2 linked regions of the Drosophila melanogaster genome follow. The protein of the gene in region 2 interacts with the protein of the main gene of each other region in a pairwise test. Each region holds a gene or a part of one and is shown on either strand. Other genes may lie near its edges.

Evidence for each region. Proteins that work in one complex are often made in the same cells at the same time.
Region 1: the proteins of DCTN5-p25 (region 2) and Ubc84D interact in a two-hybrid assay, tested with the Drosophila melanogaster proteins (one large-scale study listed by BioGRID).

The regions. Positions count from the first base shown.
Region 1 is NT_033777.3:7,515,872-7,521,456, reverse strand, and holds Ubc84D (ubiquitin conjugating enzyme 84D), read left to right. Parts: upstream 1-2,000; 5' UTR 2,001-2,098; coding exon 2,099-2,560; 3' UTR 2,561-2,637; downstream 2,638-5,585. Other genes in the region: alpha-Est7 (alpha-Esterase-7), read left to right, coding at 1-87, 173-323, 382-945, 1,008-1,177, 1,233-1,706. UniProt on the Drosophila melanogaster protein: Catalyzes the covalent attachment of ubiquitin to other proteins.
Region 2 is NT_033779.5:15,001,962-15,010,700, reverse strand, and holds DCTN5-p25 (dynactin 5, p25 subunit), read right to left. Parts: upstream 4,969-8,739; 5' UTR 4,877-4,968; coding exon 4,829-4,876; intron 4,741-4,828; coding exon 4,441-4,740; intron 4,384-4,440; coding exon 4,162-4,383; 3' UTR 4,094-4,161; downstream 1-4,093. Other genes in the region: Rnmt (RNA guanine-7 methyltransferase), read right to left, coding at 1-683; THG (tRNA-histidine guanylyltransferase), read left to right, coding at 1,104-1,251, 1,307-2,019; NC2beta (negative cofactor 2beta), read right to left, coding at 2,232-2,783; Ankrd49, read left to right, coding at 3,360-3,495, 3,545-4,056.

The DNA of each region.
Region 1 (5,585 bases), on a different chromosome or scaffold from region 2:
AAGGATAAGGCCGTCCAGGTGCAGTTCGTCTTCGATAAGGTAGAGGGCTCCGAGGACTGCCTCTATCTCAATGTGTACACCAACAATGTGAGTAATTCTATTAACTTGTGTACATAAAACATCGTTAAAACCGTAATAACTTTAAACATTTTTTATTTGTGGTACATTTTAGGTGAAGCCCGACAAGGCTCGCCCGGTTATGGTTTGGATTCACGGAGGAGGCTTCATTATCGGCGAGGCCAATCGGGAATGGTATGGCCCGGATTACTTTATGAAAGAAGATGTTGTTCTCGTCACGATACAGTACCGACTTGGGGCTTTGGGTAATCTACTGTGTGCGTATGCGCAATATTTTGACTAAACATTATTGTACCTACACAGGATTTATGAGTCTTAAGTCCCCCGAGCTAAATGTACCAGGAAATGCTGGCCTCAAGGATCAGGTGCTGGCCCTCAAGTGGATCAAGAACAATTGCGCTAGTTTCGGCGGAGATCCCAACTGCATCACTGTTTTTGGAGAGAGTGCTGGAGGCGCCTCCACTCACTACATGATGCTAACCGATCAGACCCAAGGGCTCTTTCATCGCGGCATCTTGCAGTCGGGCAGTGCCATTTGTCCTTGGGCCTACAACGGCGACATTACCCATAATCCCTACAGGATAGCCAAGCTGGTTGGCTACAAGGGCGAGGACAACGACAAGGATGTGCTGGAGTTCTTGCAGAACGTAAAGGCCAAGGATCTTATTCGCGTGGAGGAAAATGTCCTGACACTGGAGGAACGCATGAACAAGATAATGTTTGCCTTTGGCCCATCCCTGGAACCATTCTCCACGCCCGAATGTGTGATATCCAAGCCTCCAAAGGAGATGATGAAGACCGCCTGGAGTAACTCCATCCCCATGTTTATAGGAAACACTTCGTACGAGGGCCTGCTGTGGGTTCCAGGTTAGATATTGGGAATTTTTTTGAATTTTCTTTCAATAAGTAAATTTAATTTTATTTCACAGAGGTAAAGCTTATGCCGCAGGTGCTGCAGCAGCTTGATGCTGGCACACCTTTCATTCCCAAAGAATTGCTGGCCACGGAGCCCAGTAAAGAAAAACTGGATTCGTGGAGTGCACAGATTCGAGATGTTCATCGCACTGGCTCAGAAAGCACCCCAGATAATTACATGGATGTAAGTGTCGTCCAATTAGGTGCTTACATAATCATAAGCTGGTAATTTATTTCAGCTCTGTTCGATTTACTACTTCGTGTTTCCGGCCCTGAGGGTGGTCCATTCCCGACACGCGTACGCGGCTGGAGCTCCAGTATATTTCTATCGATATGACTTCGACTCCGAGGAGCTCATTTTTCCGTACCGCATTATGCGGTTGGGACGCGGTGTCAAGGGGGTCAGCCATGCCGACGATTTGAGCTACCAATTCAGCAGCCTGCTGGCTCGCCGGTTGCCGAAGGAAAGTCGCGAGTACAGGAACATCGAACGAACCGTGGGCATCTGGACCCAGTTTGCTGCCACGGGTAATCCCTACAGCGAGAAGATCAACGGTATGGACACTCTGACCATTGATCCAGTTCGCAAATCCGACGAGGTCATCAAGTGCCTCAACATCAGTGATGACCTGAAGTTCATCGATCTGCCTGAGTGGCCCAAATTGAAGGTCTGGGAGAGCCTCTATGACGACAACAAAGATTTATTGTTTTAAATTTAACTTACTGTTCTGTACAGCCTAACAAAGAAGTCTCTAGAAACTGTAAATAGGTCAAAATGCTTTATAAAATATATTCTGCAATTGGATTGTTTTGCTTTATAACTAGTTTGCCCAATGATTGCATGTGGATGAGAAATCCTAGTTTAGGTGAGATTTAAAAATATATATTTCTATTTATCTCTATATTTACCTCAGTTTACGCCATTTATTTAAATGCTTGATAACTTCTTAATAAGTTTGAATATAAAAACAATGTTCGACATGCCCTTTTGACTTTACTGTCAATAGCAATAGGAAAATTAAATTTTTAGACTTTTTTAAATTAACAAGTTTTTTTCCGAGATCTAGGGAAAACAAAGGAAAGGAACTCTGATCCCGTTGATAGAATGGCTGCCACTCGTCGTCTGACACGGGAACTCTCCGATCTGGTTGAGGCCAAGATGAGCACTCTGCGCAACATCGAGAGTAGCGATGAGTCCCTGCTGATGTGGACGGGTCTTTTGGTTCCGGAAAAGGCGCCCTACAACAAGGGCGCCTTCCGCATCGAAATCAACTTCCCGCCCCAGTATCCCTTTATGCCACCAAAGATCCTATTCAAGACGAAAATCTATCACCCCAACGTGGATGAGAAGGGGGAGGTGTGCCTGCCCATCATCAGCACAGACAACTGGAAGCCCACAACGCGCACAGAGCAGGTGCTCCAGGCCCTGGTAGCCATCGTCCACAACCCGGAGCCAGAACATCCGCTTCGTTCTGACCTGGCCGAGGAGTTCGTAAGGGAGCACAAGAAGTTCATGAAGACGGCCGAAGAGTTCACCAAGAAGAATGCGGAGAAGCGACCAGAGTGAAGTCAGCCGCAGCTCACATTTATTTGTATATCAAAATTATATATAGTTTGGACCATCAATTAAAACTTGTCAGACATAAGTTGTCCATATTTTGAATGTTCGCTAAGATATATGTATGGCGCATTAAATGGACGGTAATTCGATAAAAAAAATGGGCAAGAAAAAAAGTACAGTTAAAAAGAAATTCAAAATATTTTTCAAAATTGAGGTAAAAAAATTGTGGCCGTTGGTAAGCGTGGAATACATGTTGTTGGTTTATTGCTACAATCGTAGCCAACTCTTGGCTACTTGGCGGTGATTGTGGCCGGTGTCTAGCAATCTACTAAAGAAAACTTGTGCTTCAGCGCCTGTAGAATCTGCATGCTTGATTTCCCATTTCTAGCCATTATAGTTCCCGAGTTCACTCGGATATTGATCCTATATATGTACACATATAATTGATACCTATTACTTGATATACCCCTTTGTCTACGAGTAACGAATTTAATCAAATTACATTAATGTATCATTAACAGTAACAACAGGCAACCGCATTTGGCAATATCGTATTGGTAATTATAGCAATCATATTTACCTAATACAGTTACACATATACGCATAAGCTATCAAATATTGACCACATTCATCACTTTGGACGTCAGGTAGTCCACGTAGTGACGAAGCGTACCAGTAGCGTCTGCGAAGGATAATAACATACTTTCATATATACACGATAATAAAAGTCTGCTGCCGATTATAGCGAGTACCAATAGATATATACCAATAGAACACAAAAACTAAAGGAATTGTAAAACAAGCCTTTGAAAAGCCTAGAATACGATTCTGGGCTAGTGTTGACGTACGAAATATATTACAAAATTCTATCTGTAAACACGGTTTTAATAAAATCCATGTAAGAGTATTACCAAAGACATTAGAACATTATTCTAGTGTCTTAATACTAAACACTAGGTTTTAGGAAAATTTTTTTTAGTAAATGTTTGGTCGGTTTGTTTGTGTGAATCAGAATGATTTATCCTAAATTACCCCTTTTTTCATAAATCACCTCGTTTTAAGAAAGTTTAGTTTTGACACTTTTGAAAAAACCTGGTAGTTTATCGGGAAAACAGCTTTGAATACACCTTTTACTTTAGAACATCTGGGAATTAAGGCTTCCGCAAAAGGTCGCTCAAAAAGCATTTCCAAGTGCTTGGTACCATTTTTAAACGTTGTAGATCACTGTCAAAATTGGATACGTACTACTCCGATTGTTTTATATTGTTGTATACTACTTACCTTTATTCTATACTTTTTCAAATTTATGCATTTTTAGAGCCGTTACATGTAGAGTAAATGGGTATACTAGGTTCGTTAAAAAGTATGTATATATAGTCTGATCAGGATCAATAGTCGATCCGGCCATGACCGTCTGTCTTTATATGTAACCGTTTCGATATCAGAGATCTCTCAAAAAATCAAAAAATTGGGCGTGGCAACATCTCTTGTCTATGTATTTGGAATTTGGATACCAAATATCTACTTCCTGATATCCTGACGTTCATACGGACGGACATACAGCCGGATCGACGGCGGTCGGATAGACGGTCATGGCCAGATCGAATCTCAAATACCCTTTTATTATATGAGTAACATGTATAAAAATATGTATTTTAGCTGCTTTAAAAAAAAACTATCACATAAAAGCAACGAATTAAGCCTGTTAGCTGTAATGCATATAGTTGCGTTAAAATAAAAAAAAGGGTATATATAGTGCTCAAGAACCGATATCATTATGTAGTTTTTGCCTTCTCAATCGAAAATAAACAGAGTCGCCCTATCATCAGAAGTGCTTAATGTCCTTCAAGTTATTTATGGGCCTATGCAAGTTGCACTGAACGGAACCACTTGCTGATTACATAATATTTTTTTTTTCGACAAAATGAAACACAGAGACACGTTAGCACTGCGGTGTGCTTAGTACATTTGGAAACAATAGATCATAAATCCGAACCGCTTGGCATCAGTTTAAACAATAAAAATGGACTCAAGCCTGGTAGAGATGATGTGATCTCAATAAATTAACCGACAAATAAATTCAAAGCGGCGTCAACAGTAGGCAATTACTCTTGCTGACTTTAATTGAGCAATTACGTTGGGAACAAAATTTGTCATATAGAAATGAAAAGCGATTTCCGTTCTGTTAAAGCCATCCATGAACTTGATACAAGCACGTAAGATTGCGTGGCTTGGTGGGAGGAAATAGGGGAGAAGTAAGATATAATATTCTATAATTACATGAACTACATGGTGTTATTGGTGCTTCCTCATGGGGGAACGAACTCAATTAGCTGGGAGTGTATTTTTTGATGGTCAGCAATATTTCTATATTGATTTCGTGTAATACCTTTGTTCTTCAATTCTAGCCGTTGATAATATTCCCAGTTGCTTTGCTAATTGCACCATATATGTAGTTTTATCATGGTCATATCTAAGGGAAATATAATTGTGTTCAATAGCTCAAATTAAATTATCTCAATAACTTATTAATGCGGAAAACTGGTTTGTATAAATGTATAAATAAGTAAAATATATATAATTGCGTTTCATGAGTTTTAGGTGAAATCTGGTTATATTTTTTCTTGAGTAACGACCTTTATTATTGATGTTTCTAAATGTATGTTCATAAATTATTATTGTGCAGTAATAAGTTAAATATTATTCTATGATGGGCTTTCTTTTCCTGAGCCAATAAAAAAACACCTATAAAAAATAACTATCTGTAAATATTTAGTTTTAAGTTTATGGCAATCGTTGACAGCATTTAATTGATTTAGGCCTCAATTAATGTAATCACTTCTATATAACCGGGCAGTGAAGCTCCGCCCAAAAACCGCAATAACATTAATAACAATCGCGGGGGGCTGATAGCCGAATAGCGGGGCATGCTATAAACAATAAACAACACGGCAGCAACAAAAACGATAACGCCTAAACAAAACAACGGCGCCCAGAACAGCCAGCAAGCAAGCGACTCAGTCGAGCCAAA
Region 2 (8,739 bases):
AAGGCAAACTGACAGGACACGAGATTCAGCTGAAGCGAAGGATCCTTATACCGTTCCCGCAGGCGCACTAATGTGGAGTCGCAGGCAAAAAACTCCGCGGTAAACTTATTCGCAAATTTCGACTTCTCCGATCGCTGCAGGATGTCCTGATATCGCCGCTGGCACTGCTCCACCGACACCTCAGCGATGTCGGTGCAGATGAGGTGGGAGATGGCAGCCTTCTCCCATTTGAGAAGGTCACCGCCCTTGCCGCAGCACATGTCCAGAACTCTGAGAGCATCACCCATGCGTTTGTTCTGCTTAATCTGCGACATATACTCGTTGATCAGCTGGCTCTTGATCCAGTTGTTAAAGTTCCTCATGAAGAATATCTTTGACTTCTGACGATCCTTGCGGCCCGCCTCCTTCAGCTCGTTGTAGTGGTGTGCCACCACATGTGTGTTGGCCGCTCCGCTGGCAGCCTCCGTTTCCGGCTCATCCTGATCATCTGCTCCACTTCCATTGCCCTTCCCGCCAGGCTCATCGTAGTACTCCCTCGGTGATTTACTAACATGCGGCTCCTGATTTGGTGCAGACGTGGTCTCCGCTTGGCCCTCGCTCTCCTCGTCGTCCGACAGGCTGACTGCTTTGTGTGCGCGGGCGAACTGCTCGTCTGCCGCGTTTTGTTCGTAATTAAGACTCATAGTCTCTATTAATTTTCTGTTTTGCCGGATGACCAACAGTCGTTGCCTATCGAAGTTATCGGGTCAGTTAGGAATGAGTGCACGAGTGCTATCGGCACTCGATGTTATTTCGCGCGGAAAGTATTCAGAATAAGAAATATACATTTTAGATTTAAATTTATTTTTCTTCCTAATTAATTTTTTATAAACCAATATTCTCTAAACCATCCTCATTAGCTACTTTTAAGATTAAAGCTAAACAGATTTTAAAAGTTCCATCACTAGTCAAGCACTAGTTAACAGTGCTGTTAATGGAAAACATCAATCAGCTGTTGGTAACTCATGCATTTCTTAACTTTTTAAATGCGGTTGCTTGGAACTTTGAATAAATTTGTTAAATTATTGAATTATTCCCTTGCCCGGAATTTTCCAAAACGCAGCATGGCCTGCAGCAGATTCGAGTACGTTAAATCCTTTGAGCAGGACGACAGCATACTGCCTAATGTGTGGATAGTCATACGAATAGACGGCAAAAAGTTCCACAAGTTCTCCAAGACGCACGATTTTGAAAAGCCCAACGATGAAAATGGTAAGAAAAAACACTCATTATAGTTCTTAATAATCCCATTAAATATTCGCTTTAGCTCTCAATGTGATGAATGCTGCTGCCACGGCGGTGATGCAGGAGTTTCGGGATATTGTCCTCGCCTACGGTCAAAGTGATGAGTACTCCTTTGTTTTTCGCAAAGAGACGGCAGCGTTCAAGCGACGATCCGCCAAACTGCTCACCTACGTCACCAGCTTGTTCTCCTCGAGCTATGTAATGCAATGGTCCAAGTGGATGAATCTGCCATTGGCCTATGCTCCGTGTTTCGATGGTCGCGTTGTTCTGTATCCTTCGGAGCAGAATCTAAAGGACTATCTCAGCTGGCGACAGGCCGATGTGCATGTGAACAACCTGTACAATACCGCCTTTTGGAAACTCGTTTTGGAAAAAGGCCTGACGAACCAGCAAGCCGAGGCGAAACTCCGTGGCACCTTTTCGGCGGACAAAAATGAGCTGCTCTTCCAGGAATTCGGGATAAATTACAACAATCTGCCGGCAATGTACAGAAAGGGAACGATTCTGCTGAGAAAACGCGTGATATTGGGTGAGAAGAGCAGGCAGGCCGTGGTGCCGCTGCACGAGGATCTGATATCTTCGCAGTTCTGGAAGGAACACACCGAAATATTGGGAAAATATGTGCCAGGCACATACGACGCACCACAAACTTTTCCCCGATTGGTGGAGATGCAAATAAATGGCAAGGATGACAATGAGGCGGAGGAGCCACAAAATCTGGCTGGTACCAGCTGATATAATAACGAATAGTCTTGCATTTTTAAAGATTAAAGTTACGATACATCTAAGGAAGTCGTTTCGGAGATTGAGGATGCGGTGCCCAGGCTGCTGGAGTGAAGGACAAACGGATGATCCGTAATGAAGAGTAGCTAATAGTTGAAAGTTCAACTTATGGCATATATTTTAAGATTAAATCTACACTAAGCTCATAGAAAGACTATTTCCTACTAGTAGTCGTCGTCGTCATCGTCATCGTCATCCTCACTTGGCTTGCTGGCAACGGAGCCGTCTGCCAGCGGTGGTCGCTGCACCATTGCTGCCGCTTGCATGCTCATCCACTGCTGCTGCTCCTCGCGCGCCTGCTCCTCGCGTGCCTTGGCGAACAGCTCCTGCTGCTGGCGCAGCAGCTCCTCCTCCGGAATGCCCAGGTTCTCTAGGCGCGTGCTCTGGCGCCTTCGCTTGGCTGCCACCTCCTTGCAGTCGTGCAGAACGGCCTCCGCCTCTTGTTTGTAGTCGTGAAAACCCAAGCGTTCCAACGCCTCCAGGACGTGCTCTGCGTTTATCGTCTTCTTGTTGCGCATGTTGCACACCTCGTTGGCCTCCGAACTGATCAGATGAATGAACTCTGAGCAGCAGTTGAGTATCAGCTCGCGACTCTCGTTGGCCACCCGCACCGTGGGCACCAGCTCCTTGATGATCTTGTTGATGCTGGCCCGTGGCAGGGTCAGCTCGTCGTCCTCGGCGCTGGGCGGCAGTAGTTCTTCCTGCGGATTCGACATGGCGTCCTGGTTTCAAGGAACAAACAAACAAACAAACTTGGAAGCAGATGTTTTTCTCGGATTTACTAGTATAGTGTGCTAGAGTGGCCGTTTACTGCTAACAGAAAAATGTAATCGAAAAATTATTGTTTTTGTAAATAAATGAAATCATTAATTGATTGAAATGAACTATATAAAGCATATATAGCTAAAAATAAAATATATAAATGATGATATAAAATGATGTATATCATTTATGTATTCAACACAAATTTAATGGCTTAATAATCTTTGATTAATTTGATTTTGATGAATATTATAAATAATACAGCCTTTTTTTAAATGGCAGACTTTTCAAATAAAAGAATAATTTTTTTATAATTCCTACCATTATTTATATAAATAGTTTTTTTTTTTTTATTTGAAAAACCAAATGTACTGTTCTTTTTAAAACTCCACTCTTCGTTTAGTATATTTTTAAGTGTTTAGTATTTTTTTAAGTGTACTTAAGCGGCTAAGCAACGGTCACTTTGAGAAATAGAAAACAAAAAGTTGAGCTGTTTAAATTCCGGCTTATTATTAATATATTACCACAAAATGGGGGACTACGATTCCGATGATGAAAAATCACAGGTGGAGAAGCTGCGCCACGCCAAAGTGCCGCGCGGAATGTTCGTGAGCGGCTGGGACGACGATGCCGACGAACTGATCGAAGAGGACAAGAACCCACAAAGTAAGTAGAATACATTTTAGAGAAATAGTTTAATTAAACATCATCATAGGCAGCATTGAACGCATGATTCTGTGGGCGGTGAACGAGAACCGCATCAGCGAGGTGCGGGAAATCCTAAAACTGGACGCAGACACCGTGAACGCCAAGGATAACGACGGATACACGCCGCTGCACCGAGCTGCCTATAATAACTTTGTGGATATGGCCAAGTTGCTGCTGCAGTACCATGCCAATCCCAACGCCCGCACGGAGCTGGGATGGACGCCATTGCACTCCGCCTGCAAGTGGAACAATGCGGATTGCGCCCATTTGCTGCTGCAGTTTGGCGCCGATGTAAATGCGGAATCGGACGGCAAGCAGACGCCGCTTCACATAACCGCCACTGTGTCCAATTGTCGGAATACGGCCACGGTCCTTCTGCTGGACCGATACATCCAGCCGCGCAAGGAGAACAACTCCGAGGAACTGGCCTCGGTGATTGCCCGTCGTACTGGCATGAGTTTTCCCATTTTCGAGTCCGGCGAGGAAGCCTACGACTGCGAAACGGGACTGATAGATTAATCACTTAATAGTCAAACTATGCGCATACTTATAGAATAACTAATATAATATGTTTATTTCATAAATAATGTTTTCTGTCGATGGAATTGGTAGACACCACGATTTTCAGCTGGCTGGCGCTGGAGCCCTCACGAAATGCTCGTAGAATGACTTAGTGTAGTTGATCATCTCGTCCTGCATGGCGGCGGGCACAAAATACGGATTGCCCTGGCCACCCTCGATGGTTCCCCTCGCCGTGTAACGCATGTAGCTGGACACGGTAGTTTCTGGCGGCAGGACAGCCCCATCCTCAATTACACAGCAGTCTTTCAAAACACAGCGACGGCCCTGAAAGATGGTAAAAGTAAATGGATTACAAGGGTATAACAATAAGTAATAGCTTACTATGATGGCATTCTTGCCGATGTACACATAGGATCCAATGGTGGCCGCCGAGACGACTGCTCCTTCGCCAACGAAAACATGCTCACCGACGTGCATGGGAAAGAAGGCGATTCCCTTGCTGAATTGTTTGTACGGCGGTCGGATGACGGAGTTCTTGCCAATCACACAATATCTTCCCGTCCGGACATTGGCCAGATCGCCGCGAATGATGGCGCCGCTCTGTACGATCACCTTGCCGTTCAAAATAATGTTTTGGGAACCACAGAGCACCGTGTGGCGACTAACTTTGTTACCCGAAGCCTGTAAACAATCAGTTTTTTGGTCATGATGAGGTCATCTCTTAGTGCTTAAATGGAATCCCAAAGCGGAAGTCAGTGCGAATACTTGCCGTCTCTACGTATTCATCTTTGCTGTAGTAGGTATCCGGAATTTCCATGATTAATCAGCAGTTTTAAAAACTATTTTTAAGTAAAGTAAATAAAATAGTGAAACTGCACTTGCGAAAATATTTCGACCAGCTGATGTGTGTGGTCGCAGTGTATAGTTGGTAAAATACCAAATGTAACGCGTTAAGTCAAGACCTAAACCACATTAGCTTGGCGCCAAATTTGAATTCAAATTCGTTGCATTCCATTGATTTTCCATTGAAGAGCTTGGCATTACATCTAATTATTAATTAGACACACGCGAAGTTTTACAAATTACAAGCTGCCTTGGCGGGTGCATAGAAAACCCAGGTGTTTAACCCACTTTGACCCTGAACTTTTAGCCATAATTCTCAAATCACGATGCACATCTAGACAGCTGCTCTTCAGGCGCAAATCTGCTGGCAGAACGAAAAGAATGTGCATAATTGAACTCACACAGCTGTTGGCTGAAAGCGCAGTAAGCTCCGCCGCCTCCCATTGACGCACCGACCTTCCAAAACTTTTAACTTCCCGCTGTCCGACGCTCCAACGAAGTTCCAATTAATGCGCTCCTTAATAATCGCGAGACCCAGCCCATTGGCTTAACCTTCGCGGGGCACGCTCGAATGCCTCAAGCGGCGGCAGCTCTGGCAGCATTTTAATTTGTTTATGTTTTCATTACTATTTTCTTCGTTTGGCTCTCCACATTTTGCAGAAGTAAGCAAAGCTATGGATTTGCGGGCTTTTCCATATATGATTTAACTACGCTTAAAGAATGTCAATTAAACAATAAAGAAGACTATGTAAAGTTGAAAGGGTATACTAGATTCGTTAAATAATATGTAACAGGTAGAAGCAAGGGTTTCCGACTAAATAAAGTATATATATTCTTGATCAGGATCTGTCCGTTTGAACGTAGAGATCGCAGGAACTATAAAAGCTATTTGAGATAAAAGCTAGAAGGCTGAGTAAAGGGTATCTAATAGTCAGAGAACTCGACTCTCTTGTTTTTTTTTAATCATTTTCCATACATTCTTTAACAGATTTTACGAAAATATTAACTAAACATGGAGAAATAGTAACGAAATTTGTTAGCGCAGAAATCTTTTGTTATATTCAGACTTTTAAGAACAACTGCCTTTCTTAGCTACAATGAATTTCCCCACCCCACTTGACCTTCTTGGTTTGAACTATCTGAACTTTGCCATTATTGCTTTTCTATGCCAATTACTGCAAACAATTGTGCCAGTCTATTGAAGCTTTGAAGAATCCGCCAAAAGCAAAGAACACAAATCGTTTAACCTTCGGCGAGAAAAACCGCATCGGAATCTATTAATCTGTTTGGTGTTTGCACTTTTGAACTTAAGGTTAATAAACTTGAACTTGAATAATGTTTGGAAATTAATTGAGTTGTGCACACAAACAACTCTTCAATCGGTTGATCAAACAAATTATTCCAATTTGTTTCATTTCGGATTTAAAAATGGTGCCTATTGTTAAGTGTGATTTTCAGCAAGGCGAAACTGAGATGAATCGGTTATTAATTAAGTGTTTGATTAAATATACGAAGCAGCTTCAATCATTTCTCGATGCTGGTGATTAAAGCAAATCTAAACGATAAAGTGATTTAAGATATAGGGAGATATGAAATCCGAAATCAACCTAGGTACATACTTTTGTAACCTCAAGGTAATTTTCTGTAATATTTGTAACTTTCCCTGCCAGCAATTAGAAGTCCATGGCCGCGAAGGTCTTGACTTCGTCGTAGAACGTGTAGTCAAGTGTTTGCCTTACACTAGTCCAACAGCGATCGAATAAACTCTTCTGCCACATTTCGACCTTGGGCAGCCCACGAAGGAGGGCCGCGAGCTATGTGTGTGTATGTAAATATTTACAATAGCCAACTCATCCGCGACCTTGATAATTGGTTTCTGTTGTATCAAGTGGCTGTTGTTGGGAAAACTCATTATTAAATGGCCAGCTAATCAAGATCAAGAAACACGCACTCTGCCCTTCCCATCGCCACCAAAAAAAGACAATCGCTCACGATCGCATTGATCTTGATGGCTTTATGGCTATAAAATTTTTGAATTGTTTTCTCCGAGACAAAACCGGCGGCACTAGATCGCATAATTATTGAATGGAAATTACACTGAAACTAAAACAATGCCAGTGCTATCCAGTTAGATAGTCATGTCATGTTTAATTGAATAATTGCAAATGGCTTACATATATACATATGTGTATATATATATGTGATTTGGCCAAGAACAGGCGAGTTGTAATAATGCAATAATGAAGGTGAAACGACAAATGAAATTAATTGGAATTAGCAAAATTGTGAAAATACTTGTTGCATTCAATGCGCGCAAGGTAAGTTGGAGTGAAAGAGTCAGTCTGAGAATGTTGCATAATATTTTCACTTTTTTCCCCCAGCTGACCGACAAAAACAAAAAGAAAAAAAATTAAATCCCGCAAGTGAAACGAGTTTTTTGTTCAAGTCTTTTGTTTCGATCGATAACATGCATCTATTGACAACTCGCAGATAATTTCCTATGTTGGTGTGTATGCTGCACATGTGTAGTTGCATATATTCACTAAGTTTCAGATTGACAGAACAAAGGTGACTATCAGATTCTCGGAATGTGAGTAATTCAAGGATCTTTTGAGTATGCACTTTTCTGTCCATAAATGGCTACCCAATTTTGAGACTCCACCGAAAATTCTCTTAATAATTGATGTGACTAACATAATAACTAAGCACAACGAATTTCCATACTGTCCCATTTCACGCTAAAGTTGTTTTAAAGTTTCCTTCTTTAGAGACTCATATAGATATTTTATTGAAATTATAATAACATAGCTATTAAGTAAGTTTCATTTCTCAGAACGACTCCTTAAGTGTAAAGTTAAATTTTTAGAAAATGTGTTGCGTGATATATTATGGTTCTACCTTAGAACCCCATTAACCATATGCATTGGAGTGCCGCCTCCAGCTCTCCAGCGACCAAGCACTTTTTGGTTTCTATTAATTACAGTCATTACAATTCCATGTGGTGACCAAATGGCTTCCTCATGTCAAGATCCCAACGCGAAACGAGTAGCTCGCGATTAGCAACGAAGTTTTGAGAGCTCAGTTCAAAAGCCGAGTTCAAGAACTAACTAACGATTGTCTGACAATGACAGTAGCTCAACGGTTTGCGAGGGAGGGGGTATCCATAACTCTGTTGGATTTGGAGTTGGAGTTGCCAATGCTTGAGCTCAGCGCGACCAAACAAATAGCAATGAGAAATTGTGTGAATCGAGCAACAAATGAATGCGCTTTTGATGTGGCGTATATTTATAATACAAATTATGGGTACGTATATAACGAATTTCCCACCCACAGCCCCCTCTGGGATACGCTTGAATGGGCGTGGCATGCTGCAATTTGTTGCTTTTTGCCCCCAAAAAGCGACCTCAGATTGCCCAAGTTGTGCTAATTAAAACATTAACTCTGCCCCGAGGCTGAATTCGCATTAAATAACGATTGCCCGTGATTTTTTTTTTTGCTTTTTGCCGTTTTTTTTTTTACTTCTTATTTGCCAAAATCGATTATAATCAAATTTCAAGTGGCCCCCGTTCGGTACACGAAAAAATCAAAACCAGTAGAGAGTTAACTGTCAAAAAACCAACGCACGACAACGCCAGAAACAACATTGCTGACAACAGCAGCTACAGTGTGGAACATAGTTGTAAATCACATTGTTGAGTTCAGGACAGCTGATCTTTGCTGTGCTGACCAATTAAGTGCCATTTCAAGAGGCTTGAATGAACAGAATTTTGACAAGGAGTTCTTTTAATTAGGTCATATCCTTTTTTTAAAAACTATACTTTAAATATATATATGTCA